Stegostoma tigrinum: one gene and its partners. The protein of the gene in region 3 purifies or fractionates together with the protein of the main gene of each other region. This does not show direct contact. Links are inferred from orthologs where the notes say so. Each region holds a gene or a part of one and is shown on either strand. Other genes may lie near its edges. The genes, in order: numa1, pnn, band 4.1-like protein 3 and hspa12a.

Region 1 (7,830 bases), on a different chromosome or scaffold from region 3:
CCTCAGGCTCCACACACAAGTTCCCTATGCTATCCCTGATCGGCCCTACTCTTTCTTTGATCATTCTCTTATTCCTCACGTAAGTGTAAAAGGCCTTTGTGTTTTCCCGGATTCCTTCTGCCAAGCCTTTCTCGTGCCCCCTCCTGGCTCTCCTCAGACCATTTTTGAGCTCCTTCCTTGCCAGCATGTAATCCTCTCTAGCTGAACTTGACCCTAGCTTCCTCCACCTTATGTAAGCTACCTTCTTCCTTTTCACAAGAAGCTCCACCACTCTCATCATCCAAGGTTCCTTTATCTTACCCCTTCTTGCCTGTCTCAGAGGGACATATTTACTCATCACTCCCAACAACTGTTCCTTAAACAGTCTCCACATGTCTAGAGTTCCCTTACCATGGAACAACTGCTCCCAGTCCATGCTTCCTAACGGTTCTTGCCTAACGGAATTGTATTTACCCTTCCTCCCAGTTATAAACCTTACCCTGCTGTATGTACCTATCCTTTTCCATGACTATTGTACAAGTAACAGAGTTATGATCGCTACTGCCAAAATGCTCTGCTACCAACAGGTCTAACATTTGGTCCGGTTTATTGCCAAGCACCAAATCCAAAGTGGCCTCTCCTCATGTTGGTCTATTTCCTTCCTTGCTGAATGCAGTGGACAAAATCCGCTCCATCTAAACTAGTATAACTAAAATGTTTCCAATCAATATTTGGAAAGCTGAAGTCACCCATGACTGCAACCCTGTGACTTGTGCACCTTTCCAGTATCTGCCTCCCAATCCGCTCCTCTACTTCACTGCAACTGTTGGGGGGGGGGGGGGGCGGTCTGTAAAAACCCCCCCCAAAGTGACTGCTCCTTTCTTGTTCTGGATCTCAACCCAAACTGACTCTGTAGACATATCATTCTCAAATTGCCTTTCAGTAGCTGCTATACTAGCCCTGACTAGCAATGCCAATCCCCCGCTTCTTTTTCCACTCTCCCTAAATCTTTTGAAAGTGTCTAAATCCTGGAACTTCCAACAACCATTCCAATGGTTACAGGGAAACTGCAGGACAATGGGTTTGGGAAACACATTAGCCATGGTGGAGGAGGCTCAATGGCCTAATTCTGTTTCTATGTCTTATGATCTTATTAACATCAAAAAAGCCATAGAACTGGCCCTTTCCTGTGAAAATGTGGTACCATGCTTTCAGGAGCTTCATGGGTCCACAGAGTACAATCTGCAGCTTTGGGCTATCCCCATTGTGCAAGCCAAGTCCCCACCAAAAAACCCTCACGGCTCCCACTAGTTGTCAGGAAGGGCGATTGGAGTCAGAGGCTACAAGCTTCCAGAACCGGGCAGAAGTTTCTCCATGATACAGTGAAGACTGAGAATGTCTATGCTGCACTTGCAGTCATAGGGTCTGCCTGAGACAAGGCTATCGAAACAGGCAAAATGCACACCTTTTCACCTCAAGATAGAGCTTTGCAAATAAATCAGTATGATGATTAGGAATTGATATGTTAAATTATAAATCACTGCTCCCAAAGTGGCTCCAACTAATATAAAGCTCCAGATAAATTACCAACCCCTTGACAATAAAGTAGCCACAGGTATGCCTGCATTTGTTGTTTGCAAACAAACCTTTAGGAAACTCCATAGGGGCATCTTGCCTTTCAGCTTGTGAGACTCTGAGCTTAGACTGGCCAAATGCACCAGGGAGCCCTTACATATTATGTATGATTTTATTCTCACTTGTATTTTACAGTAAGAATACAATAAAATACAGTGAAAAGGTTTCATTTGTTCCTGTGATTTGGTGCCATTTGAATAATTTAAGAATAAGGAAAGAAAAGATATGGCTTAGAGAGAGTCCATTACTCCTGAGCCAACTTATCACCATTAGCGGTGCCAATGCCGCCATCTCTCCTCCACTGCTTCACCGCTGTCTTCATAGGACACAACCAATATCAAAGTCACCGATCCTCAGGCACCATCTTTCGCCACTGGGCTGCTACTCCTCCACCACCATCTCACCACCACCTATGCCAGACCATCCAACACAGTCACATATTTTGCTGCTGGGTTCATTTCAATGTCGCTATGATGCTCTTCCACTACCGCTTTGCCGCCACCAGCCCTGGATCCAAACAACGATGAAGTCACTGATTCTCAGGCACCATCTCACTGACTTCACCTCTGCTGATAGAGCAGTCGCCAATTCCAATGCCAGGTCCTGTGTTTGCCCCCAAAAAGCAAGAAGTCACTCGAGGCCCACATCTGGCTCATTTGAGATTCATGCTCTCATGCTGCCAATGATGTCTGAGCTCTGGACAAAAGGTAAGCAAATGTATATAGGAGAGAGAAAAAAAGAACAAGAAAAGACAAAGAACAAGAAAATCAGTTGGAGCAGATGAGCTCCAGCTCAAGAACCCTATTCTGATGCCACCTTGAATGTAATTGAATTCAATTGTAATTGAATATTGGAACCATTATAACCTCAGTTATGGCAGGGCAGCAGATAGTCTGACTCCCTTTAGTGGTAGTGCAAGGGACAAGTCCCAATCTTTTGGGAAGGGATCTGCAACAGAAAATCTACCTGGATTGGCAACAGATTTTTAAAATGAGTACCAATGATCTATACAAAGTCATTAGGAAGTAACCCGAAATGTTTGAAGAGAGCTTTGTGAAAACTAAAAGGCACCAGAGCCAAGATCTACGTAGACCCAGAGGGCCTACCTGAATACTTCAAGGCATAACCAGTTCCCTTTGCTCTACATACAAAGGTAAAAGTTGAATTAGACTGACGAGGGGAAAGTGACATAATTCACCCAGTCCGATTTGCTGAACGGGCTGTGCCAATAGTCCCAGTGGTAAAAACCCCGCCCCGCCCCGCCCGCCCCCCCATCTGTCCCAGCCTGGGACCAGTCTATGCACGCCAGGAGTAGTGGCTCTATTTGATATTCAACATTAAATGATGTTTCTCTCCAGTTGGGCTTCCTCAGTTGTTACGCAAGGATATTAAAAGTAGCTACAGAGATAGTGGTACACCAGTTGTAATCTTCCAAGAATGCTTTGAACTTGGAAAAGTCCCAAGAGGACTGGAAATATAGCACCTTTATTTACAAAAAGAATATATTAATCTGTCAATTGAAAATATTAGTCCATTGTAAAAGGATGTAATGGTAGCACATTTAGAAATACATAATGATAAAACAGAGTCAACATGGTTTCATGAGAGTGAAGCCATGGCTGACAAATGTATTAGAATTCTTTGAACAGGTAACAAGCAGAATAAATAAAAGGGGAAGCAATTGATATAATAGATTTAGATGTTCAGAATTCCAGAAGTCATTTGATATGTTCGGCTACTTAGTAACAGCCCACGGCATTGGAAATTGAATTTAGCATTGACAGAGGATTTTCTAACTAATAGAGGGGGTTGGGATAAAGAGAGCGTTTTCAGATGGCAATCTGTAACCAGTGGTATGCCACAGGGATCAGCATTGGTGTCACAACTACTGATAATATATATGAATGACTTAGATGAGGAATATTATATACCCAAGATTTCAGATTACATAAAAAACATGTGGGTATGGTTTATGAAGAGGTTTACAGACAGGAATGAAGGGTCAGGCATTAGAATAGATGGATCTTCAATGACATAGTCACGATGGCCAAAGGCCTTCTTGTGGCATAAAATCTCTACCAAACCAAAAAAAAAGGTCCTTCGGCACATTGTGTCTGTGCCGGTCATCAAGCATCTTTCCTTGTTAGTCCCATTCTCCAGCACTTCTGTTCTAACGGCCCACAGCCTTCTGTTCTAATGCTTTGCAAATGTTCATTTATTAGATGTCTTGAAGGTCCTTACTTCTACCACGCCTTTAAAGCAGTGGGTTTCAGCTACCCACCCTCTTCTGTGCTGTAAAAATTGTATACCACTGCCAATTAGTATTATACTGTACAAGTCCAGTAAAAATCTTGCTCCTTGCCAATGTCCTGATGATTACAAGGTGAAAAGTTTTGACAATGTGTATTTTCTTTTTCGGCAACACTGAAGTTCTGATTCCAGCCTTGGATGATTGTGCAAACTCCATACTGACATTCTCCCTATGTTTCCTCCCACAGTCCACAAGTGCACGTTAGGTGGATTGGCTATGCTAAATTGCCCGATAGTGTCTGGGGATGTGCAGGTAAGGTGGATTTGCCATCGGAAATGTGTGCTTATGGGGATACGGTGGGATCAAGTGGAATGCTGTCCAGAGGGTCAGCACAGATGTGACGGGCCAAACGGCCTCTATCTACGTCTTATGATTCTACGACTATGTATCAGAATTTCATGAAACATACCCAAAGAAAACCAAATGGAGTGAACAGAGTGTCAGTGATAATGGGAACTGCAGATGCTGGAGAATCCAAGGTAACAAAGTGTGGGGCTGGATGAACACAGCAGGCCAAGCAGCATCTCAGGAGCACAAAAGCTGACGTTTCGGGCCTGGACCCTTCATCAGATTTGTTCTCTTGAACAGAGTGTAAACTGTGAAACTGATTAACTCAAGGTTTAGTCTGGAAGTGTGTAAAACGCCTAATAAAAAGGTGAGGAGCTGTGTGTGATATTGGATGGACCAGTGTCTACTGCGCGCTCTCACTTACTGAGGTGCTTCAGCACAACCTTCCTCTTTTGGCATCATGGGGTTGCTAGGGGCAACACGAGCGGTGGCTGCGCGTGGCCTACTGGAAGTTGTAGTTTCCGCGCCAGCAGCCACCCGCGGAGGGACCTGGCGAGGGACTAGACTCTCCAGCGTGACTTGGAGCGGTTGCGGCCAACCCCTGCTATCTCCTGATAAAGGTGGGCAGCTTGTAAACCCGAGAACCTTTTCAAATACTGTTCCTTTCCCGCGGCGGGTGAGCTATCCGTGGTCCGGTGCGCCACAGGAATGACGACGGAAAGAAACGACTGACGGACGGGACTACAAATCCCAGGGTGCCAAGATAGACACTCACCCGGCAATGTTGCGCGACGTCGAGGGCTTGGTGGTTTCCTCCTGTTCGTCCGCCACCCATTGATTCGTGTCGCTATCCACCACCTCCATTTCTATCGATCTGTTTGCCGCTTATCGCTCTAGTCAGCCATTGCGGCGGCTGCTGCTGCTAGAGGAGGAGGAACGGCTAACGACGAACTCCCCCGCCTTTTTTTTGTTGTGGCAACGTCATCACGTGTATTTTCCTCCGTACCGGGTTCCCGGATGTCAGAGACGACGCCAGTTACCCGGATTTGGGGGGGGGGGGGGGGGGGGCGGGAAGGTGATGTACGGTACCCGGATGGAGAGGATCACGTGCCCCTTACCCAACACCGGGGACCAATGGCGGCGCAGCCTGGGGAGGCGGGGCCCTGGTTTGAAAGGGTCGGGGCCCGGGAGGCCTCAGAAAATCAATGCCGAGGATCCTGCGGCCTAGTCCAGGATCGACGCGGCAGGCTGCTGGGGGTTAAGAGCTATTCGGAGTGTACGTCTGAGGTAAAACGAACGATTAAGGGTCGGGGTAGGCCGTTGTGCCGTTCGGGTCTGAGCCTGTCCTACTCCCACTGGATGGATAAATGGAAGGCCTTATCGTAAAGACATGTAGGGCAGGACCGCAGATGCCTTACTGTAAGGGACAGGTGTGAAGCAGTGGGTTTTAACAACCGGTAATGATGACCTAATCACTGAGACCAGGCGCTAAGTTCTGGAAAACGGATGTTTGATATGAGCGGCGCGGATACGAATAGCCGCAGGGCCTCTCCGTGTTGTAAAATAAACCCGATAACTAGCTTTCAATTATATTCTTCAAGGAATGTGGACGTCGCGTGCCAGGCCAGAGTTTATTGGCCGCAGGTTAGCTAAGAGTTGACTACATGTAGGTCAGACTAAGTAAGGATGGCAGATTTCCTTCTCTGAAAAACAGATGGGCTGTTTCCTGACTGACTTTTAACAATGGTTAATTCCAGATTCCACCATCTACCTTGGCAGGTCACCGGAACATTACCTGGCTCAATGCTATTAGGCCATTGGTTCCCCTTAATTTCGGACTGTTTGTTTGAGCATGTCAAAAAGATTGTTTTGACATGAATTTACGTTTGTAGTAACTACTGTGGTGGAATTTGAACCAATTTTCCCCCAAACAAATCATCTAGGGCATTTGAGGTTCTGGTCCATTGACATGACCACTAGGTTACCATTTACCATGAAGTTTCTTTATAGAAACATAGAAGATAGGATCAGGAGGAGGCCATTAGGCACTTTGAGGCTGTTCTGCCATTCTTCACGATCATGGCTGATTATCTAAGTCATTAGCCTAATCCTGCTTTCTCCCCATAACTTTTGATCCCATTTGCCCCAAGTGTTATATCTGATTGCCCCTTGAATACTTTCTGTGGTAATGAATTCCATAGGCTCACCACTTTGAGTGAAGAAATGTCTCCTCATCTCTGTCCTAAATTGACTACCCTGAAACCCCTCACTGTGACCCCTGGTTCTGGACACACCCACCATTGAGAAACATCTTCCCTGCATCTATCATGTCCAGAGATAATGGGAACTGCAGATGCTGGAGAATTCCAGGATAATAAAACGTGACGCTGGATGAACACAGCAGGCCCAGCAGCATCTCAGGAGCACAAAAGCTGACGTTTCGCGCCTAGACACTTCATCAGAGAGGGGGATGGGGTGAGGGTTCTGGAATAAATAGGGAGAGAGGGGGAGGTGGACCGAAGATGGAGAGAAAAGAAGATAGGTGGAGAGGAGAGTATAGGTTGGGAGGTAGGGAGGGGATAGGTCAGTCCAGGGAAGACGGACAGGTCAAGGAGGTGGGATGAGGTTAGTAGGTAGGAAATGGAGGTGCGGCTTGGGGTGGGAGGAAGGGATGGGTGAGAGGAAGAACAGGTTAGGGGGCAGAGACAGGTTGGACTGGTTTTGGGATGCAGTGGGTGGAGGGGAAGAGCTGGGCTGGTTGTGTGGTGCAGTGGGGGGAGGGGATGAACTGGGCTGGTTTAGGGATGCGGTGGGGGGAGGGGAGATTTTGAAACTGGTGAAGTCCACATTGATACCATTAGGCTGCAGGGTTCCCAGGCGGAATATGAGTTGCTGTTCCTGCAACCTTCGGGTGGCATCATTGTGGCACTGCAGGAGGCCCATGATGGACATGTCATCTAAAGAATGGGAGGGGAAGTGGAAATGGTTTGCGATTGGGAGGTGCAGTTGTTTGTTGCGAACTGAGCGGAGGTGTTCTGCAAAGCGGTCCCCAAGCCTCCGCTTGGTTTCCCCAATGTAGAGGAAGCCACACTGGGTACAGTGGATGCAGTATACCACATTGGCAGATGTGCAGGTGAACCTCTGCTTAATGTGGAATGTCATCTTGGGGCCTGAGATAGGGGTGAGGGAGGAGGTGTGGGGGCACGTGTAGCATTTCCTGCGGTTGCAGGGGAAGGTGCTGGGTGTGGTGGGGTTGGAGGGCAGTGTGGAGCCAACAAGGGAGTCACGGAGAGAGTGGTCTCTCCGGAAAGCAGACAAGGGTGGGGATGGAAAAATGTCTTGGGTGGTGGGGTCGGATTGTAGATGGCGGAAGTGTGGTAGGATGATGCGTTGTATCCGGAGGTTGGTGGGGTGGTGTGTGAGAACGAGGGGGATCCTCTTTTGGCGGTTGTGGCGGGGGCGGGAGCGGGGTGTGAGGGATGTGTTGCGGGAAATACGGGAGACGCGGTCAAGGGCTTTCTCGATCACTGTGGGGGGAAAGTTGCGGTCCTTGAAGGACTTCACCAGTTTCAAAATCTCCCCTTCCCCCACCGCATCCCTAAACCAGCCCAGTTCGT
Region 2 (7,739 bases), on a different chromosome or scaffold from region 3:
GGATCTAAGGTCTGTTTCAGTGCTATATATCTACACGGCTAAATCACAAACCAAAATTTCGCAGAATTCCTAGTACACATTAAATTATAAACTAAAGCTAAAAATGTATGCCAATTAGATGTAATAAAATCACTTCCTAACTTTGAATCTTACATTGCCATTTACATGAAATAAATGCAATTCCTTTAAATTTAACATAGTAAAAGATTCTATTCCATCAAATGAAAAATGTAAACGGTATTAAGGAAATGTAATGAATTTCTATCTTACCTAAGTAATCCAAGCCCACGTCCTCTACCTCCACCAGGACCTGCGATGGATAACCGCCTAGCTTGGCCGGGCCTGTATTCAAAAATAAATTTGAATTAACAAGGACTAAAGCTAGTCATATACCCAAGTATGGGGTTTTGTATGGTAAACTATAAGAAATATTGTGAAAGTGAGAACATCTTTTGCAACTATTAGCTAACATCTATGAACTTCACCCACAGAAGGGAACGGGTCACTCAAAAATCAGCACTTGCCTTTTTGATTAGGAAATAAGGATTTAGCAAGTGATGCATACGATCATATTAAACAGGAATAACGGTAAACCAGCAACAATCCACTGCAAGAGATAATGGGAACTGCAGATGCTGGAGAATCCAAGATAACAAAGCGTGAAGCTGGGTGAACACAGCAGGCCAAACAGCATGACAGGAGCACAAAAGCTCATGTCAGCTTTTGTGCTCCTCAGATGCTGCTTGGCTGCTGTGTTCATCCAGCTTCACACTTTTATCCACAATCCACTGCAAAACACCTTTTAATTCAACAGGAATGAAATGGCAAACAAAGAAATAAATGGAAGAAATTTTCCTCTTACCATCTGCCGCCCTTTGACTTGCCACTCAAATCTCTTCAAAAAGTGGGGACAACCCTGTTTACGGTCACCAATGGCCACAACAAATTCCTCCTCTTGAGCTCAAGGCTTTTGATACAGTTGGCCACTTAATCTTTCTCTACCACTACATCACAGTACACTTACTTTCTCCATTCTTGCTGCTATTCCTAGTGCGTTTAATAACACGAATGCAACAAGATCTCTACCCACTCCTGCTTGGACAGTTCCATTATGACTCCACAAACTCCTGTACAATTCTCAAATGTAATGCCTCTCAACATAATCTTAAAGGATGAGGTTAACCTGGTAGACCTTGTGATCCAGACATAGTAGGGACTGCAGATGCTGGAGGATCTGAGATAACAAGGTGTAGAGCTAGATGAACACAGCAGACCAAGCAGCATCAGAGGAGCAGGAAGGCTGACGTTTCAGGCTTATCTGAAGTCTGAAGAAGGGTCTAGGCCGAAACATCAGCCTTCCTGCTCCTCGGACGCTGCTTGGCCTTGCAGTGTTCATCCAGCTCTATATATTGTTATTTCAGACCCTATGATCCACCTTGGTGGATTAACATCTGCTCACTGAAATTCAAGCAGCTCAGGCTAAATACTGGCAAGAAAGCCTCCTAGTCATTTTTGAAAAATAAATTACTGAAATGCATTGCAAAAAAAGCTAGTCTACTTATTTCAACTGAACCTTAACATACACTTGGTACAGAAATCCTTGTGCTTTTGTTATTGATCAGGTGGATTTTGTGCATTCTTCCCAATTAGTCTGCCAGTATATGCAAATATGGCTCAAGTCATTGGTCACTCTACCACAATAAAGCCCTTTATTGCTTTTAAACTGCAGTCATCACTAAACTTTATTGAATTACAATTATAGTGTCCTTTTCAAAAGCACTCATCTGACATATTGAAAAAAAGATGATCTTTAACACAGAAAGACAGCTTAATTCTTCAAAGGTGAGAAATACATCAAGAACTGAGGTGATGTCAAATTAGCCAAGACTCAGAGCGTACGAGCTTTGGGATGGGGATGGGGTAGGGGCAGGGAGGAAAGTGTTATTTTGCATTCGGTAGTTTTCCACTTCCTACTTCAGGGGTGATGAGACACAAAACACAGTCTGATTTGCTATCATTCTGTAATATGTTACAAATCTCAAAACTTCATGACGTTATAACATAAAACAATACATTAATGAATGTAAGAACACCAGGAGAACTAGTTTATTAGTGATGTTTTGGTACACAGTGGCAAAATGTCTCGATACTTTCTGCAGAGAATCCCACCTACTATCCACATTTATGTTTGGGTTGCCGTGTATTGAAGTAAGTGAAAATCGCCGGTTTACAAGTGGCTAATTACGAATCCACTGTTAATTACTAAGATTCTTTTAAATGTCGGGACTTGATTCTGTGGCGGGAAGAAAGTGAGGTCCTGAAACGCGGGAATCCGTTAGTAACCGCGAAAAGTGAAGGGACAATTTCACAGCGGTGCAAGGGGGAAGGCGTTCTACACGTTTCAATCGTTAAAATATCTTGAGTAATGGCCACTGAATGGGGTTGATGCTCTTTTTCACCACTTCCTCCATTCACTTAAGGTGACTAGGCGCCCACGCCATCAAAGCTGGGGCATTCCTCCGCTGGTGAGTTCCGCGATTGGGAACGCCATGGGGCCGCTTGCCAGGAGGCGGCAGGGCCCAAGAGACAAGGCACGGGCCTGAGAGAGGCAGTCAGACGTTCCAAGGAGTGGGATCTCGCCACAGCCAATATTGGGCAAGTCCCGAAGTTCGGCCTCCAACTCTCCCTTCCCTTCCCTTCCCGTTTCGTTTCGACGCTTCTCTCTCCTACCCCCCTCCCGGGGAGAAGCCGCGGGATAAGCCCGGGCCCGACCACCTGGCGGCCCAGTGGGTATAAAGCGGAGAATCCCGAGCCCCTGATAGCCGAGTCTGAGGTGTCGTAGGCTGAAAGGCGGTCACCTGAGGTCGTTCGGATCCCGGCCAGTCAGTTTCCGAATGTTCTCGTCCACATTCTTCAAACTTTCCTTTGCTTTCTCCAATTGATCCTGCAAACTTCGCACCGCTACCGCCATCTTTTCTCTCGCCGCCGTGCGCACAGCACTCTGGGAACAGGCCAGGCCCCACCCCTTCCCCAATCGGCCCGCCTAACGTTAGTGATGGTCAGACTGATGCGCCAATCAGCGATGAGCGGTCACTGGAACAAGGTCCAATCAAAAAAACCGCCGGCCAGCGCAGTGGCCAATCAGTGGTCTCCTATTGAAGAGTGCCTGAGTGAACCTTGGCAGACTGCTGCTTGAGAGTCAGGGCTCACGTCTTCGGAACAAAAACAGATGTTGCTCCCATTATCCCTATTGCTGAAAAAGCTCAACAGGTCTGGCAGCATGTGTGATGAAAACAAAATTCAGAATTAACGTTTGACCTTTCAAACGTCAAACTTTCCTGCTCCTGAGATGCCGCTTGGCCTGCTATGCTCATCCAGCTTCACACCGTGTTATCTCAGATTCTCCAGCATCGGCAGTTCCTACCATCTCTTCAGAATTAACGTTACGGGCCCGGTGACCCTTCCACTCACCTCTCAGGGATTTCTTTTCACGTAAGGAGCCAAGTTAAGCGCGAATTTATAACAAAGAAAATCAATGTCAGAGGAATTTGATATATTTTTAACAAGGTAGATCACAAAAACCCCTCCAAAAGTTACCAAGCAGCACAGCCCCTTTTCCGCTGAAGGGTCCAGGCCCGAAACGACAGCTTTTGTGCTCCTCAGATGCTGCTTGGCCTGCTGTGTTCATCCAGCCCCGCACTTTGTTATCTTGGATTGTCCAGCATCTGCAGTTCCCATTATCTCTGCCTCTTCGTATTCAATGGCTTTACTACCACTGTCGACAATCTGGAGGTTAGTATTGACCAGAAACTGAACTTGGCTAGCCATGTTTGCAATAAACAACTGCACCTCGCATTCCTTAGACGACATGTCCATCCTGGGCCTCCTGCAGTGCCACAACGATGCTATCCGTAGGTTGCAGGAACAGCGACTCATATTCCACTTGGGGACCCTGCAGCCCAATGCTATCAATGTGGATTTCACAAACTTCAAAATCTCCCCTCCCCCCACTGCATCCCAAAACCAGCCCAGCTCGTCCCTGCCTCCCTAATCTGTTCTTCCTCTCACCTATCCCTTCTCCTACCTCAAGCCACATCTCCATTTCCTACCTACTAACCTCATCCTGCCCCCTTGACCTGTCTGTCCTCCCCGAACTGACGTATCCCCTCCCTAACTCCCAACCTAAGCTCACCTCTACAGGCTCCATCTCCGCCCTCCCTCTACCTCTAATGCATAGTAACAGCATTGTGTACCATCTATAAGATGGACTGCAGAAATTCACCATGACTCCTCTGACAACACTTCCAAAACACACAACCATTATCACAAGGGAGAAAGGCCACAAATACATGGGAACACTACCATCGGCAAGTTCCCTCTAAACCACACACTATCCTGACTTGATATATAGCTTTTTTTTTATTCACTCATGGGCATGGTCATCAATGGTTGGACCAGCATTTATTGCCCATCTCTAGTTGCTTGAGAAGGTGGTGGTGAGCTGCCTTCTTGAACTGTTGCAGACTTTTTGCTGTAGTAAGACTTACAATACCGTTAAGGAGGAAGTTCCAGGGTTCAGACCCAGCAACATAGACAGGATAAAAATATACTTCGAAGTCAAGATGGTGACAGGCCTGGAGGAAAACTTTCGGGTGGTGGTAATCCCATCTATCTGCTGCTGTTAAATGGAACAGGTTAAGAATTTGGAATGAGAGATAATGGGAACTGCAGATGCTGGAGAATCCAAGATAACAAAGTGTGGGGCTGGATGAACAGAGCAGGCCAAGCAGCATCTTAGAAGTGCAAAAGCTGATATTTTGGGCCTGGACCCTTCATCAGAAAAGGGGGATGGGGAGAGGATTCTGAAATAAATAGGGAGAGGGGGGGAGGCAGACTGAAGATAGATAGAGGAGAAGATAGGTGCAGAGGAGAGTATGGGTGGGGAGGTAGGGAGGGGATAGGTCAGTCCAGGGAGGACGGACAGGTCAAGGGGGCGGGATGAGTTTAGTCGTAGGAAATGGAGGTGCGGCTTGAGGTGGGAGGAGGGGATAGGTGAGAGGAAGAACAGCTTAGGGAGGCGGGGACGAGCTGGGCTGGTTTTGGGATGCAGTGGAGGGAGGGGAGATTTTGAAGCTGGTGACATGTCATCTAAGGAATGGGAGGGGGAGTTGAAATGGTTTGGGACTGGGAGGTGCGGTTGTTTACTGTGAACTGAGTGTAGGTGTTCTGCAAAGCGGCCCCCAAGCCTTCGCTTGGTTTCCCCAATGTAGAGGAAGCCACACCGTGTACAGTGGATGCAGTATACCACATAGGCGGATGTGCAGGTGAACATCTGCTTGATGTGGAAAGTCATATTGGGGCCTGGGATGGAGGTGAGGGAAGAGGTGTGGGGGCAGGTGTAGCACTTCCTGAGGTTGCAGGGGAAAGTGCCGGGTGTGGTGGGGTTGGAGGGGTGTGTGGAGTGGACAAAGGACTCACGGAGAGAGTGGTCTCTCCAGAAGGCAGACAAGGGTGGGGAGGGAAAAATGTCTTTCTTGGTGGGGTCGGATTGTAGATGGTGGTCGTGTCGGAGGATGATGCATTGTATCCGGAGGTTGGTGGGGTGGTATGTGAGTACTATGGGGATTCTCTTCGGGCGGTTATTGCGAGGGCAGGTTGTGAGGGATGAGGTGTGGGAAATGCGGGAGACACGGTCAAGGGCGTTCTCGACCACTGCGGGGTGGGATGTTGCGGCCCTTGAAGAACGAGGACATCTGGGATGAGCGGGAGTGAAAATGCCTCATCCTGGGAGCAGATGCGGCGGAGGCGAAGGAATTGGGAATAGCGGATGGAATTTTTGCAGGAAGGTGTGTGGGAGTCAGTGGGCTTGAAATGGACATCAGTCTGTAGGTGGTTGCCTGAGATGGAGACAGAAAGGTCCAGGAAGGTAAGGGATGTGTTGGAGATGGTCCAGGTGAACTTGAGGTTGGGGTGGAAGCTGTTGGTGAAATGGATGAACTGTTCGAGCTCCTCTGGGGAGCAAGAGGCAGCGCTGATGCAGTCATCAATGTAATGGAGGAAGAGGTGGGGTTTTGGGAGAGTGCAGGTGCGAAAGAGGGGACTGTTCTACATAACCTACAAAGAGCAAGGCATAGCTTGGGCCCATGCGGGTACCCATGGCCACCCCCTTAGTCTGTAGGAAGTGGGAGGAATCGAAAGAGAAATTGTTGAGGGTGAGGACGAGTTCAGCTAGGCGGATGAGGGTGTTGGTGGAGGGGGACTGGTCGGGTCTGCGGGACAGGAAGAAGCGGAGGGTCTTTAGGCCATCTGCATGGGGAATGTAGGCGTATAGGGACTGGACATCCATGGTGAAAATGAGGGGTTGGGGACCAGGGAATTGGAAGTTCTGGAAGAGGCGGAGGGTGTGGGTGGTATCACGGACGTTGGTAGGGAGTTCCTGGACCAAGGGGAGAAAATGGAGTCCAGATAGGTGGAGATGAGTTTGGTGGGGCAGGAACAGGTGGAAATAATGGGTCGACCAGGGCAGGTGGGTTTGTGGATTTTGGGAAGGAGATAGAAGCGGGCCATGTGGGGTTGGGGAACAATGAGGTTGGAGGTCACCTGAGTTGATGAGGTCATGGATGGTTTGGGAGATGATGGTTTTCTGCTCGGGGGTGGGGTCATGATCAAGGGGCAGTAAGAGGAGGTTGTCAGAAAGTTGGTGTCTGGCCTCAGCAATGTAATGGTCAGTGCGCCATACTACAACTGCGCCTCCCTTGTCTGCGGGTTTTGATGGTGAGGTTAGGATTGGAGCGAAGGGCTGCCTGTTCTGCAGGGGAGTGGTTGGAGTGGGTGAGAGGGGTGGAGAGGTTGACGCGGTTAATGTCTCGACGGCAGTTGGAGATGAAGCAGTCGAGGGAGGGTCGGAGGCCTGGGGGTAGTGTCCCAGGATGAGAACTTGTGTTGGAGGCGGGAGAAGGGGTCAGTGGAGGGAGGGTTAGGCTCCCGGTTAAAGAAGCAAGCAAATGTGTTGTTTAAGGATCTTTGTGCATTTCCACAGTGCATCCTGTAGATTGTACATGCAGCTGCCACTGACTGTAGGCAGAGGAGGGAGTGGATGTTTTTTGATATGGTGCCAATTAAGCAGGCTGCTTTGTCCTGAATGATGTCAAGCAGCTTGAGTGTTATTGGAACAACAGTCCTCTTGGCAAATCGGGAGTATTCCTTCACATTCCTGAATTGAGCCTTGTGGATAGATTTTGGGGAGTGAGAGGTGAGTTACTCGCCACAGTATTCCTAGCCCTCTGACCTGCTCTTCGAGCCAACGGTATTTATTTGGGGAGTTTCTGGTCAATAGTAACACTATTGAGTGTCAAGGAGCAGTGGTTAGATTGTCTTTTATTGGAGATGGTCATTGTTTGGCATTTGTATGGCACAAATGTCATTTGTCACTTATGAGCCCAAACCCGGATATTGGTCAAATCTTGTTGCATTTGAACATGGACTGCTTCAGCAGCGAATGGTGCTGAACATTGTGTGATCATCGGTGAACATCTCCACTTCAGACCTTATGTTTGAGGGAAGGTCACTGATGAAGCAACTGAGAACGGTTAGACCTCTGACGCTACTTTGAGGAACTGCTGCAGACCTGTCCTGGAGGTGAGATGCCTGACCTGCACAACAACAACCAGCTTTCTTGCGCGAGCTATGACACCAACAAGCGTAGAGTTTTCCCCAATTCTTATTGATTCCAGTTTTGC
Region 3 (7,077 bases):
CTTGGTAGTGTTTTGGAATACTTTATGTCTACATCATTAAAGTGTAACTAAAGAAAATTATAATATGCAGTCAGTGTCAACAGAAATTAAGATCAGGATTTTTTTCATTGCTATCAGAGAATCAACTACATAATCTTTAAGATAAAGAACAGCATCAACAATTACTTCTGCTTGAATGATAATATTAACATTCAGGAAAAAAACTGCTCTATGTGGTAAATCTGACATAAGCACAGAAATAATTGAAGTATTTGAACCAGAGCCAGTCAACCACAATATTCCATCAAACACTTTTTATATAACAGAGAAAGGGTATAGTGGGGAAAACATAGTCTGTCAAGAGTCAGTGTATCATATCTAAGGCAAAATAAAATGTGCATTGAATCAAGTTCAAATATGCTACGAACACTTCAGGTCATTATTGTCCATGAACATTTTGTGCTGTGATTTTAAAAATGGCATTCAGGAATCCAAGAGTCAATTGAACTCACACACATAATTCAACTCACTCGTAATAGCCACATCTTCTTCCAAGCACTTTCTCCTCCATCTTGCACATATTTACATATCCCCTCACTCGTGGATTAACAATAATTTAATTCAATTCTACCGTCCTCATTGTATTTCCCCATCGCCTGTTTCTGCCCAATATCAGTGACACCTGCTGGTTTGAATGTATAGGTGGAGCTAGCCATTCAAGTGGCTACTGTTCACAAAAGTATCAACATGCCATTCAATAATAATGGACCAACAGAACCAACTCCAACCCTCTCCTTGCCCAATGTTTTCAAAATGTGTTTTCCTGTGGAAGGTTATAACTAAAAGCAAGAATTTTTACACCTCGTCTTAAAGTGTGCCAAGGCCAATTACAGCAGTAATTTATAACTGCACAGGTCAGGATTTGACTCTCCTGGTCTGCACGACCCAGTACAGCACTATGGCCCAGTAGACACAAGTAGTGCTTAGTCACAAGGTGCGCATTTTCATTCTAACTAAGTATTTTATCTAAGTGCTTAGTGTAATGCCAAATATCTTGGGAGTATTCCTTAATAGAAAATACATTTTATTTAAGTCAGACGGATTCATTTTAAAATGATCATAGAATTACTAATTGTCTGATGATGTGTACAAACCCAAAATGTCAACTTTTCTGCTCCTCTGTTGCTGCCTGGCCTGCTGTGTTCCTCCAGCTCCATGCTGTATTGACTATTAGTTGTGGTATTATTGTAAACAGAAAATGATAATTCACAGTTTGGGTTATTGGGTATTCCAAGTTTTACTTTGCTGTAAACATTTCAATAAAATTTCAAGTTGAATCAAAAGCTGAAGTTTCACAGCATGCTTCCTCGTACTCATTGACAGTGTGTAGCAATGCCAGCATTTTTTTGCCTATACCCACTTATTTTTTGGAAGGTGCTGATGACTAATCGTTTTGAGTACAAGTGACTGAATTGCTAGGCAATTCCCTGGGCTGTTAGAAGTCAACTCTTGGCTATGAGTCTGGAACCGTATGCGGCCTGACCAGTTGATTTTCCTCTCTAAAGTGCATTCATGAACTAGGTCTCAAAGATTCTTCATCTGTTTCACAGCCAACATTTCTTTTATTGGCTTTTTACTTTAAAGTTATTTGATTCCATTTAAAGATTAGGCATGCAAGTTAATAACCATAATGCTACTGTTTTATGACCTTTAAATCTTAAAGGAGAGCAACCAATGTAAGTAGACATTAAAAAAAGCATCTGCATTTTGTAGCTGCTTTGCACCTACATTAGAATACACATTAAGTGCAGAAAGAATATTTACATATCCCTTCACTCTTGGATTAACAATATTTAATTCAATTCTATCGTCCTCATTGTATTTCCCCATCGACTGTTGCTGCCCAATATCAGTGGCACCTGCTGGTTTGAATGTATAGGTGGAGCTAGCCATTCAAGTGGCTCCTGTTCACAAAAGTATCAACATGCCATTCAATAATAATGGACCAACAGAACCAAGTTCAACCCTCTCCTTGCCCAATGTTTTCAAAACGTGTTTTCCTGCGGAAGGTTATAACTAAAAGCAGTATTCCTGCTTTTAATTGTAACGTTCCAAGGAATGCACATTTTGTAAACATTGAGCAAGGAGAGGGTTGAACTTGGTTCTGTTGGTCCATTATTAATAAAAGTAATAAAAATGGATCTTATATAATACCCGTTTTAGAAATATGCATTTCCATCTACCTGTATTATTCCCCAAAATACAGAAAGACTTTTCACTTATCAGTCAAGTTTTGATTGTCAATATTTCTGAAGACATTAGTTGTCAGAGTATATGTCATTGTGTATGTTATATTGTTAGAAAATATTGTAATGGGAAATATTTAGGCAAAATATGGCAGATTTATAAGCCAAGTACTTCAATGAGTTGCAAACAGAACGCAGGTATGGTTCTCCCAAATATCAGCTTGTTGGTATTTCCGCTTAAGATCTTTCACTAGACTGCTGCAATTGTTATCCTCATTATATGATACATTTTAGTTCAAATAACTTGCTTGAACAAGTAGCAAGGCAAACTATAAAAGTGCACATCTTTCGGTTTTGCTTGCAAAGTCATCATAAAAGTCCAGCACGAACGTACATACAGAACTTTTGGTGTTGGATGGCAAACTGATCCATACAAGAATAAATTTTGCAGTTCTAATATGCTTATTTACATACTTAACACATTTCTTTTACCATATAGATGTGATAATAGGTCACAAATGGCCTTCTGTTGTGATACAAATTCAAGATAAAACGAGCTGATTTGTGAGATCAAATACACTAGCAGTTTCAAATTACTCCGGTGATTTGCAAATATAAATCACTAGTCATCACATAAAATAAATCAAACAGATTTAATCTTCATATACAATTAACTTCATCCATATATTTTAGTAACACAATAACAGAACAATGTAGTGTGTTACAAAACTGGCATTCTTAGGTAATGAACACAAAGTACTCACAGAGGTTAATTATGTCCCGAGTCCAGAAACGATGTTACATCATATTGTTGATTGTTGCATATCATGATTGTAACATGGAAAACAAAATTAGCAATCAGATCAAAACGAATTTGGATGTTTATTTGAAAAAAGTTTTAAACATTTGTAAAGTTTCAGCCTATATGTTAAAACTACAGAGTAAATAAGCATCAAGTAGTATCACATATTAAAACTTCTGCTCAACTATTTAAAATACTTATATATTCATACATGCTCATGTCTCCTCAAAGCCCAGAGGTTTTTGGCAGTGGCAAAGCAAAATTGAGACAAAAAAAAGGCAGCCTTTAAAACTGTTGCACCATTAATTTATTACAGTTTCCTGTTAAATACATTATACATTGCTATATTACCTATTTTAATATAACAAATTATGTAACATTAAGTCTTTTCAGCTGGTTTTGTTGCAATTCCATGACAAGAAGGTGCAATAAACACAACAGTCTCTTAGACATTTTCTCTCAGCTGCAGACTCAACAAAATGTGAGCACTTGTAGAAAGAAAATAATTTCATTTTTTGCCTAATTTCTATCCAGTGCGTTTATTTCTTTGAAGCAAATAAAGACACTTCATCACTAAATTACAGAAGATGACACAAGTTCAATTCAGAACATCTTAATAGGAGTTTAATTAAATATAAACAGGAACAACTGTTCCTTTGCCACAAGTTTAAATGTATGGTTTATTCTTAGTGTAGTTTCAACTCAAACCAAATGATTGAAAATAAATGGTCTCTAATTTTAGACTACAGCTGTAAATTCAAACTACAAATGTTCCCTTCAAAGTATTAGCAGAAACAGATCAAAGTATTATCTTTTCTGAAATTTTTTTTGTCACAGGAAACACTTCTTGAACTTGACACAGAAAAGCATATCATCATTCAGGGACAACTGTGATGCTCGTTGTAAATTAATCCAACTTAAATCAGCAGTTTGGCGATTAGACAATTGCTACATAATCACATTAAACTGGATCAGCTGATGACTATTTTTTCCACTGCTTGGTCCAGCAAATCAATGAAATGCATTAGTTATGGCAAACGATCCACATTATAAGCAAGATCCATTTACTGCATTAAAAAACCTTCTACTTGTTATCTTGTACAGTACAGAAAAACCTGCAACATGGGCAACTAAACTTCAAATCTCAGCCACGTCATAAGACTTATTTTGAAAGCCTTAACGGCAAGTGGTTCAGTCAGCAATTTCACAAAGTCCCTTTGTAAGGGCAGAGATTCATGAAAAATGATCAAAAGTTACATCTCTGCATGAGTTTACTACTTTAATTTTTACTACTGTTTTTAAAGTTAACACTGATAAATGGGGCTTTGAATTTGTTTAGAGTCCATCATTGGGCAAACGATTTTTTTGTGTGTCTGATAAGTAAATGTGACTTTATTTGCTGCAAAGGGAATAACCAGCATTTCTGAAAAGGCACAGTGTTGCATATGAGCTTAGTCTCAGTACCACACTTGGCTTACTTTCCAAATTAATTTATTTTAAAAGCAAATAATCCTCGAACATACTAAGCTTCAGGTTGAGGCAACTGCTGTAGATTCTACATTAACACCGATCAGATTTCTGTCATACAGTACCGCGTTGGACAAGAGACAAGCTCCAAACTGACAAAACATTCTACACCTACCAGTCTATCCCTTTCAGGAACTTCATCTGGACCGCAAGCACAAAACTAATAAAATAAGTACAAAAATAATGACAATTCAACCTTCAGAAAACAGAATCCCTTACCTGTCCTCCTTTCAAAACTGCCCTGGGCACAGTTAGGAACGACTCAAACGTTGAAAATATAAGCTTAAAAGTCTGATCTTCATTTATTTCTTTTTAAGTAAAGTTGTATTAACAACTTAATTAACATACACCCACTCGCAAGACATGGCAACTCCTATTCCTTCTTTGTCACAATGCACTATCTAAAAACGACAACATGGCCAAAGCTTTCACCTCATGTCAACTAATTGAAGGGCAATCCACTCACCATGCGAACTGCTCAGCAAAAGGGGGTGGGCACGTCACTACTATTGGTTAACCGTATTCCTGTAAAATCTGCATTTTCCAATTGGAACATTGGGATACCAATTATAATCAATACCTGCCATTTTACGAGCTTTCGTTGAACAGCAGATGACAGGTTCATTTCAGTCAGAAAATGCCGAGAGAGAAAAAAAACTTGAACGGGCAAAGTAGAGTGGTCTATTTTAAAGGCGGAAATGTGAAATTGTATGAATAAATTATGAACCAACTAATCCACTAGACACAAATAAATGTATCACAAGCGCTTGGCACGGCGTTTGATTGTGGCAAAGTTGGTTTTTGAATCATCCGTGGGTGGCGCTTGCTTCCAGACGACGCAAAAATTAAGTGTAAAGGTATATAATGCGCTCATCGTGTCGCACATTATCAAATCCAAAAGCATTTTTCATAATGGTAATTGCCTCCCTCTCACACTAACCCGAAATTCCCCCCTAAAGCCTACGATGCACAACATCAACGTCTGGGATGGGGGTTAGTGATACAGGAGGACCACACCCGCCTTTTACCCAAAGGGGTCTTGCCCAAATCCTACCTGCCCTGGATGTTTGTCGCGGCACATCCGAACGGGTCGGTGCACATATAAAAATCACTGAATGTACTTTCTCTAAGCAAGAGAAACTAGCTATTAGGGAAACACCATGTCGTGAAATACACTTGTTAGCAATTGATCCTGAAACATTTCAGACGATGGTAAAAACTGAAGTCTCAAATTTGTATAAGGCAGTTCGCGACAAACGTGCTTTGTTATTAATCAAGCATTTTTGAAGCTAGTCACTATTGCAATATTGGAGAGACAGCTGCACATTTGAAAATGTTAAGGTCCCATACGCAACCAGCTGATCAACTCGAGCACTTTCTGTTCTTATTTTTGAAAATTACCTTCATATCTTTGAGGGAAAGAATGGTTACATGCCAAACTACTTGCAAAAATTAAACATCTTCAGATTAAGCCCATACAAACAAAGTTCCCTTCCTATATCTGTACAAATGAAAATAAGACACAAATGAAAAGAGATTGTGGATTGAGAATAAATAGACTAATATTTTTCTTTATAATATACCCATGGTTGTGCAACGTGTACAACTTTAGTCTTTAATAAACTTGGGAATGCAAATGATAATCAAACTGTAAATGACAGATAAAATCACAATGCATGAAGTTTTTATGTTAATAATATTTATGTTGTTAATACTGTGTTATATTTTTCAGAATGGAAATGGTGACAGTAGAAATATTGTTGAATCTGGTGTTATGATTAGCAAAACTGAAGTCCATAACATCTCTGAGGGGCAAGTTCATTGCTCATTATAGAAAAACAACACTACTTCGAACCTCAGTCAAGAACTGGATTAAAATATTTCCATCATGCGTACATCCAAACTAAGAAAAAATTAAAGTTGCATATCGAATTTACAAACATCCCCTTGTTACAGTCGGGAGAGAAGGGGTGCTGTGCTCCCCCAGCTCCACACTGTGTTATCTCAGACTCCAGCATCGGCAGTTCTTTCCATCTTTGACGAAATCGGCTCCTTTTGTTTGGTCAGGACAAATATTTATTTGTTGCGCAAAGTTATATCACTGTTCAATTAAAATGAGGCACTAGATTAGAATTAAGAAGCCAACTGCTTGACTAAATAGAAGATGATTTGTTTTACCTACCGATCCTGAGAAAATTGATAAAATATGACATTAAGCAGACGGGTATAAAGCTTGAGAAGGGGACAGTGACCAGTTCAAGGGGTAAGATGAAAGCATATGCAATTGTAGAAGTTATTAGAGTCCCTAATTTGTAATAGATGAACCTGAGAGCATGGCTGTTCAGTTAATATCTTGTATTCTCAGCAGTATCAGCATTTTTAGAATCTTTGAATTTCCAGTTGGGCAGATGTTTCTCTCACCTGATTTATAACCAGTGCTGGTTTTCAAGATGTTCATAGAATCCCTGCAATGTGGAAGCAAGCCATTAAGCCCATCAGATACACACTGACCGTCCAACGATC
Region 4 (6,823 bases), on a different chromosome or scaffold from region 3:
CCAGCCAAAATAGGATTTCACACCCCTTTCCATTCCAGCTCAAATTTTCTATTCTTGTGCTAATCAACTGCGTGGGTATCACACCAACATATAACTCTGCGATAATAAAATGTGAGGCTGGATGAACACAGCAGGCCAAGCAGCATCTCAGGAGCACAAAAGCTGACGTTTCGGGCCTAGACCCTTCATCAGAGAGGGGGATGGGGAGAGGGAACTGGAATAAATAGGGAGAGAGGGGGAGGCGGACCGAAGATGGAGAGTAAAGAAGATAGGTGGAGAGAGTATAAGTGGGGAGGTAGGGAGGGGATAGGTCAGTCCAGGGAAGACGGACAGGTCAAGGAGGTGGGATGAGGTTAGTAGGTAGATGGGGGTGCGGCTTGGGGTGGGAGGAAGGGATGGGTGAGAGGAAGAACAGGTTAGGGAGGCAGAGACAGGTTGGACTGGTTTTGGGATGCAGTGGGTGGGGGGGGAAGAGCTGGGCTGATTGTGTGGTGCAGTGGGGGGAGGGGACGAACTGGGCTGGTTTAGGGATGCGGTGGGGGAAGGGGAGATTTTGAAACTGGTGAAGTCCACATTGATACCATTTGGCTGCAGGGTTCCCAGGCGGAATATGAGTTGCTGTTCCTGCAACCTTCGGGTGGCATCATTGTGGCAGTGCAGGAGGCCCATGATGGACATGTCATCTAAAGAATGGGAGGGGGAGTGGAAATGGTTTGCGACTGGGAGGTGCAGTTGTTTGTTGCGAACTGAGCGGAGGTGTTCTGCAAAGTGGTCTCCAAGCCTCCGCTTGGTTTCCCCAATGTAGAGGTAGCCACACCGGGTACAGTGGATGCAGTATACCACATTGGCAGATGTGCAGGTGAGCCTCTGCTTAATGTGGAATGTCATCTTGGGGCCTGGGATAGGGGTGAGGGAAGAGGTGTGGGGGCAAGTGTAGCATTTCCTGCGGTTGCAGGGGAAGGTGCCGGGTGTGGTGGGGTTGGAGGGCAGTGTGGAGCGAACAAGGGAGTCACGGAGATAGTGGTCTCTCCGGAAAGCAGACAGGGGTGGGGATGGAAAAATATCTTGGGTGGTCGGGTCGGATTGTAAATGGTGGAAGTGTCGGAGGATGATGCGTTGTGCACTCAGTTGACACTCACTATCTTATAGATTTTTGTATTGGTGAAAATATATCAACAAAAAAAGTACAGTAAAACTTTTACCTAGAAATCTTTAGAATCTCACACATTCTTCTATTCAATTTACAATGTATCTATTCAGTTTTCTGTAATATTTCTCATTGTATACAGCAAGTGTGTCCAAAATGTCTACAGAACCACTATTATTATATTCATGCTTATGACAGTGAGGTTTCACTCATACAGTAGTAGAATAGGCATTACCTGCTGATTTTATTTTCAATTTTTGTTATGATGTAAGTCCATTAAGCTACTCAGATGAAAAGAATCACAGCAGTCAGTCATTTTATAATTAAAAATCAGTACAATTGAGCACCCTAATACTAAAAAACAAGGTGCAAACTTGTCCAAAAGAGACTACTAATGTTCAGCGACCATTCTGCTTCAATTAATTTTCTAATTAATAATTTATTTTGAAGTTTCAATGGTAAAGCAAATGAAAGTGGAACAATTTTTGCTCAGTGACTTCTATTTTATCTTCTGAATATCGACAATGATGTTATATTTTTTGCATTAATAATTTGAAATTTTGTGATCTCTAGGTTATACACGGATCCCAAGTCAAAAGAACTGTTCCTCCTCGAATCGGCATTCTTTTGGGAGGCCCCAAAGTAGAGGCCTGGTGTCTAGACATTGCTGTGAAAGAACATTGAAGCTGGAGATTGACCATGTTGTGGAGAGCTGTTTAGTTGGCATAAGCTCACACAGATGACTGAGAATGATATCACGACTGTGAAGGTGCTTTAGGTTCCAGCAACTGGGAAGACAAGTTAAAATATCCACCTTCCCAATCATTTTATTAAAACGATTAGTGATGAAATTCCTTCTCATTGAGCTACTTTGTACTCTCTGCAGCTTTAACTGCCTCATTCAGGATACAAACAATATTTAATACCAAATAAAAATGTCTACGACTTAAAAGATCGAAACCATTATTTGAATCTTATGACATGCTACTTCCTACATTTGAGTCAGTTTTATCTGAGAACTCATTTTAAAGTGGCCTTGATCGAAATCACTACGACACGGCATTAGGGTGAGTAATTTTGAAATCTGCACTATCACGATTTATAATTGTAACTGCATGTAGGGATTGTTTAAAAGCAAAACCGTAAATCCGATCATTGAGATTAAAACATATATCGGGGCAAAAACGGATTGCTCCAACATTGGGACTGAACTGAACGCTCACAGTAAGTGGCTAAGAGAGGAAAAGCCAAATGAAACGGATTATGCTGCAAGGTTTTTTTTCACCTGCAACAAATCAGCTCCATGTAATTTTATGCTGCATTGAATCCCACAAGTCCCCCATCCATGTGACTATTACAATGGCTGGGCTCTGCAGTGAAGCTTGAGAGACTTAACAGGATATTACATCCAGTCAGGATCCTAGAGATAAAAACAACCAGCAGCGAATGAAAAAGACTACGAGTACTGTGTGGGTCCTGGCAGTATCACTGCAGGCCAATGCAGCGTCATAACAGTAAAATTTTTCCTACCTGCAGTGTGGCCTTCAGTCACAGACTCCTTCTCAGACATTGTGGTGAATCTAGTCAAAATCGGCAGTCTTTAAAACCTATTAATCATTAGGCTAGCAGAATCTTTAGCTCACAGTGCAGTCACTGCCATTGAAAACAAATATTACAATCTGTCTGTATCGCAGCTTGTCACCAAACTACTATAACAAGCTTTTGTCGTCCTTCCCTTCTCTCTCCCAAAGTCTTTTATACACACAGATTAGTAATAGTTCTAATCTTTGACCCCCCAACCCCACCCTAACTCTGCTCAAAAGGTTTCCTTGCCGAAATTAACCCAAACATAAAGAAAGAATGAACTGCTTGCACTCTTACTCCTCATGTTTCTGCAGAGCTCCTCCTCCCTAGTGCGTTCATACACAGTGTCAGCAGCATCAGCAGGGAAGGGCTTCCCATGCTGCAGTAAATGACCGAGCAACGGCAGCAGACTGCCAGCATGAATCACACAGCAAGAGAAACAATTAAAATCGCCCAGTAACTGCGCGAGATTGATCCGGTTATTTTAGATCCTCCAGATTTCATTATTTTGCACTGTACTTGTCAATCTTAACACTGTTCCCCGTGAAATGTACACGGCAATAGTTTTAAATCGAAGAGATTTTAATTGCAGAAATACACTGTAGCAAGACTCTTGGTTCTAATGTCCTCAAGTTAATAGTGCTATTAGTTTTGTATCTTAAATCCTGTGTATTATGCAAAAACTTTTAAAAATATATAGGAAACATTTTGAAGGAAAACAATGTTGTACACACAGCTGCTCTAAGTCCCTCTGATGTCTGGTTAAACGCTGCCATCCTTTCCTGATCCAGAATCATATATGATATATGCCATCTTCCAGTAGGTTTCACTTCCAAATCAGTTCTTGTGGCTTAAAATAATTAGGAAAAAAAACCCTCCACTTCTGGGGGTAACTCTTCGACATTTGGGCCCAGACCTCCGGGATCCAGGCAGTCGGAAAACGGGCGTACCTCAAAAGAAGCGCATCAGGACCTGTCAAAATCTGCCCACACTGAGGACACAGTAATTGCCCGGAAAGTTTTAAACTTGCGAAGGGCAATTACCGGATGACGGAAACCCTCTGAAGTAGTCCCCGTTCCGTATGGTCGAAGACTTGAGAGTCCCAACGTACCTTACCAACTAGCCAAGAAATGTTAGAACGTTAAAACCCGCCCTTAATCGTGCCTAACTGTACCAGTGAGCTCCAGCTCAATCACTCACAATGATTGTTCCACAATGATCACTCACACTGACCAGCACCCCAGTCGACCCAGCCGACCCCACATTGATACCAAACTCACAATCTCCTCATACACTACGATGCCCACCCATGGACTATAACCAGTCTCATTATCTCCAAACACCCAAATTGACCTCCTCCACCCCTCTGCCACCATACACTCATGCCTAATTCCAACACCTGACCCTTTGAACCCTCTCACCCTGCCATCTGTATCCCGTCACTGATCAGGAACCCAAACCATTCCATTTTGTCCCCTTATTCACATAGCACTACATTCCCTCACTCTCACCTTCTCTCAGTAGCTGTCAAAGTGGCTTTGGGGCTTTTAAACACTTTACTAAAAAAACAGCTATTTTCATAAACAAAGGGTATGGTTTCATCAACAATCATGTCACACAAATGCGAGGCAATGAATATCACCAATAAGACAGTATCTAACCATCACTCCTTGACATTAAATGGCACTACCTTCACTGAATTCCCCACTGTCAACATTCTGGGGGGTTACCAATGGACAGGACAGTGAAGAAGGTTGTCACAGAATACAATGGGACCTTAATCAGATGGATCGAAAAGTGACAGATGGAGTTTAATTTAAATAAATGAGTTATTGCATTTTTGTAATGCAATTGAAGGCAAGACCTATATGTTTGATACTAGGGTCCTGGCATGTGTTGCTGAAGAAACAGACTTTCGGGTGAAAGTTCATTGTTCTTTGAAGGTGAAGTCACAGAGTTTCTTAAGGTGGAGTCACAGGTAGACAGAGTAGTGAAGAAGGCAAAAACAGAAATTGCTGGAAAAGCTCAGCAGGTCTGGCAGCATCTGTGGAGAGAAATCACAGTTAATAGTTCAGGTCGAGTCACCCTTCCTCAATTCGGGATGTTTAGAAGGCTTTTGATATTGTCCCATACAGGAGAATAGTAAACAAAATTAAAGCACATAACACTGAGGATAGTTAACAAGCAAAAATCAGAGAGTCAGCATATGTCAGTCTGTGGCCAGTGGACTACCGTAAGGTTCAGTGCTTGGGCCCCAGCTGTTCACAATCTACAAGAATGATTTGGATCTGCTGGAAAATGTAATGTTTCCAAGTTTGTAGATAATGCAATACTTGGTGGTAATGTGAGTTGTGAGGAGGATGCCAAAAGTCTTCAGGGGTTTTAGACAGGAGTGAGTGGGCAAGAGCATGGTAATTGGAATATAATGTGAACCAGTGGGAGGTTATCCACTTTACTGGGATGAAGAAAGATGCAGAATATTTCTTAAATGGTGAGAAATTGGAAAGTGTCAATATCCAAATTTACCTAGGTGTCACCAGATTAAAAAAAAACTTAAATGAACTTGGATGCTGGAAATCTGAAACAAAAACAGAAGTTGCTGGGAAATCTCAACAGGTCTGGCAACTTCTGTAGGTCTCTACATTGGGGAAATGAAGCGTAGACAGGGTTAACAAAGTGTGAGGCTGGATGAACACAGCAGGCCAAGCAGCATCTTAGGAGCACAAAAGCTGACGTTTTGGGCCTAGACCCTTCAGAGAGGGGGTGAGGAGAGGGTTCTGAAATAAATAGGGTGGGAGGGGGAGGCGGACCAAAGATGGATAGAAGAGAAGATAGGTGAAGAGGAGAGTATTGGTGAGGAGGTAGGGAGGGGATGGGTCAGTTCTGGGAGGACGGACAGGTCAAGGAGGCGGGATGAGGTTAGGAGGTAGGAAATGGAGGTGCGGCTTGAGGTGGGAGGAGGGGATAGGTGAGAGGAAGAACAAGTTAGGGAAGCGGGGACGAGCTGGGCTGGTTTTGGGATGCAGTGGGGGAGGGGGAGATTTTGAAGCTTGTGAAGTCCATATTAATACCATTAGGCTGCAGGGTTCCCAAGCAGAATATGAGTTGCTGTTCCTGCAACCTTCAGGTGGCATCATTATGGCACTGCAGGACGCCCGGGATGGACATGTCGTCTAAGGAATGGGAGGGGGAATTAAAATGGCTCGCGACTGGGAGGTGCAGTTGTTTATTGCGAACCGAGCGGAGGTGTTCTGCAAAGCGGTCCCCAAGCCTCTGCTTGGTTTCACCAATGTAGAGGAAGCCACAATGGATACAGTGGATGAAGTATACCACATTGGCAGATGTGCAGGTGAACATCTGCTTGATATGGAAAGTCATCTTGGGGCCTGGGATGGGGGTGAGGAAGGAGGTGTGGGGTCAAGTGTAGCACTTCCTGCGGTTGCAGGGGAAGGTGCCAGGTGTGGTCGGGTTGGAGGGGAGTGTGGAGCGGACAAGGGAGTCGCGGAGAGAGTGGTCTCTCCGGAAGCCAGACAAGGGTGTAGATGGAAAAATGTCTTGGGTGATGGGGTCGCATTGTAGATGGCGGAAGTGTTGGAGGATGTTGCATTGTATCCGGAGGTTGGTGGGTGTTATGTGAGGACTAGGGAGATTGTCTTTGGGCGGTTGTTGTGGGGGCAGAGTGTGAGGGATGTGTTGTGGGAAATGTAGGAGATATGGTAGAGGGTGTTCTCGACCACTGCGGGGGGCAAGTTGCGGTTCGTGAAGAACGCGGACATCTGGGATGTGCGGGAGTGGAATGCCTCATCCTGGGAGCAGATGTAGCGGAGGCGAAGGAATTGGGAATAGGGGATGGAATTTTTGCAGGATGGTGGGTGGGAGGAGGTGTATTCTAGGTAGCTGTGGGAGTCGGTGGGCTTGTAATGGACATCAGTTTCTAGCTAGTTGCCTGAGATGGAGACTGAGAGGTCCAGGAAGGTGAGGGATGTGCTGGAGATGGCCCAGGTGAACTTGAGGGTGGGGTGGAAGGTGTTGGTGAAGTGGATGAACTGTTCGTGCTCCTCTTGGGAGCAAGAGGCGGCGCCGAAACAGTCA

The links.
Region 1: the proteins of band 4.1-like protein 3 (region 3) and numa1 purify together in Homo sapiens (affinity purification with mass spectrometry; 3 studies listed by BioGRID and IntAct, with this or other methods). This does not show direct contact. The link is inferred for Stegostoma tigrinum from reciprocal best matches to the Homo sapiens genes EPB41L3 and NUMA1.
Region 2: the proteins of band 4.1-like protein 3 (region 3) and pnn purify together in Homo sapiens (co-immunoprecipitation; 3 studies listed by BioGRID and IntAct, with this or other methods). This does not show direct contact. The link is inferred for Stegostoma tigrinum from reciprocal best matches to the Homo sapiens genes EPB41L3 and PNN.
Region 4: the proteins of band 4.1-like protein 3 (region 3) and hspa12a purify together in Homo sapiens (affinity purification with mass spectrometry; 4 studies listed by BioGRID and IntAct, with this or other methods). This does not show direct contact. The link is inferred for Stegostoma tigrinum from reciprocal best matches to the Homo sapiens genes EPB41L3 and HSPA12A.

The regions. Positions count from the first base shown.
Region 1 is NC_081359.1:110,954,417-110,962,246, forward strand, and holds the start of numa1 (nuclear mitotic apparatus protein 1), read left to right. Parts: upstream 1-4,813; 5' UTR 4,814-4,833; intron 4,834-4,988; coding exon of another isoform or gene 4,989-5,077; exon of another isoform or gene 5,078-5,242; intron 5,243-5,307; exon of another isoform or gene 5,308-5,500; intron 5,501-7,830. Other genes in the region: lrrc51 (leucine rich repeat containing 51), read right to left, coding at 4,989-5,077. UniProt on the Homo sapiens protein: Microtubule (MT)-binding protein that plays a role in the formation and maintenance of the spindle poles and the alignement and the segregation of chromosomes during mitotic cell division.
Region 2 is NC_081363.1:55,583,443-55,591,181, reverse strand, and holds the start of pnn (pinin), read right to left. Parts: upstream 3,007-7,739; 5' UTR 2,972-3,006; coding exon 2,859-2,971; intron 343-2,858; coding exon 271-342; intron 1-270. UniProt on the Homo sapiens protein: Transcriptional activator binding to the E-box 1 core sequence of the E-cadherin promoter gene; the core-binding sequence is 5'CAGGTG-3'. Capable of reversing CTBP1-mediated transcription repression.
Region 3 is NC_081358.1:20,955,479-20,962,555, reverse strand, and holds the start of band 4.1-like protein 3, read right to left. Parts: upstream 3,013-7,077; 5' UTR 2,990-3,012; intron 1-2,989. UniProt on the Homo sapiens protein: Tumor suppressor that inhibits cell proliferation and promotes apoptosis. Modulates the activity of protein arginine N-methyltransferases, including PRMT3 and PRMT5.
Region 4 is NC_081373.1:20,489,656-20,496,478, reverse strand, and holds the start of hspa12a (heat shock 70 kDa protein 12A), read right to left. Parts: upstream 3,023-6,823; 5' UTR 2,718-3,022; coding exon 2,678-2,717; intron 1-2,677. UniProt on the Homo sapiens protein: Adapter protein for SORL1, but not SORT1. Delays SORL1 internalization and affects SORL1 subcellular localization.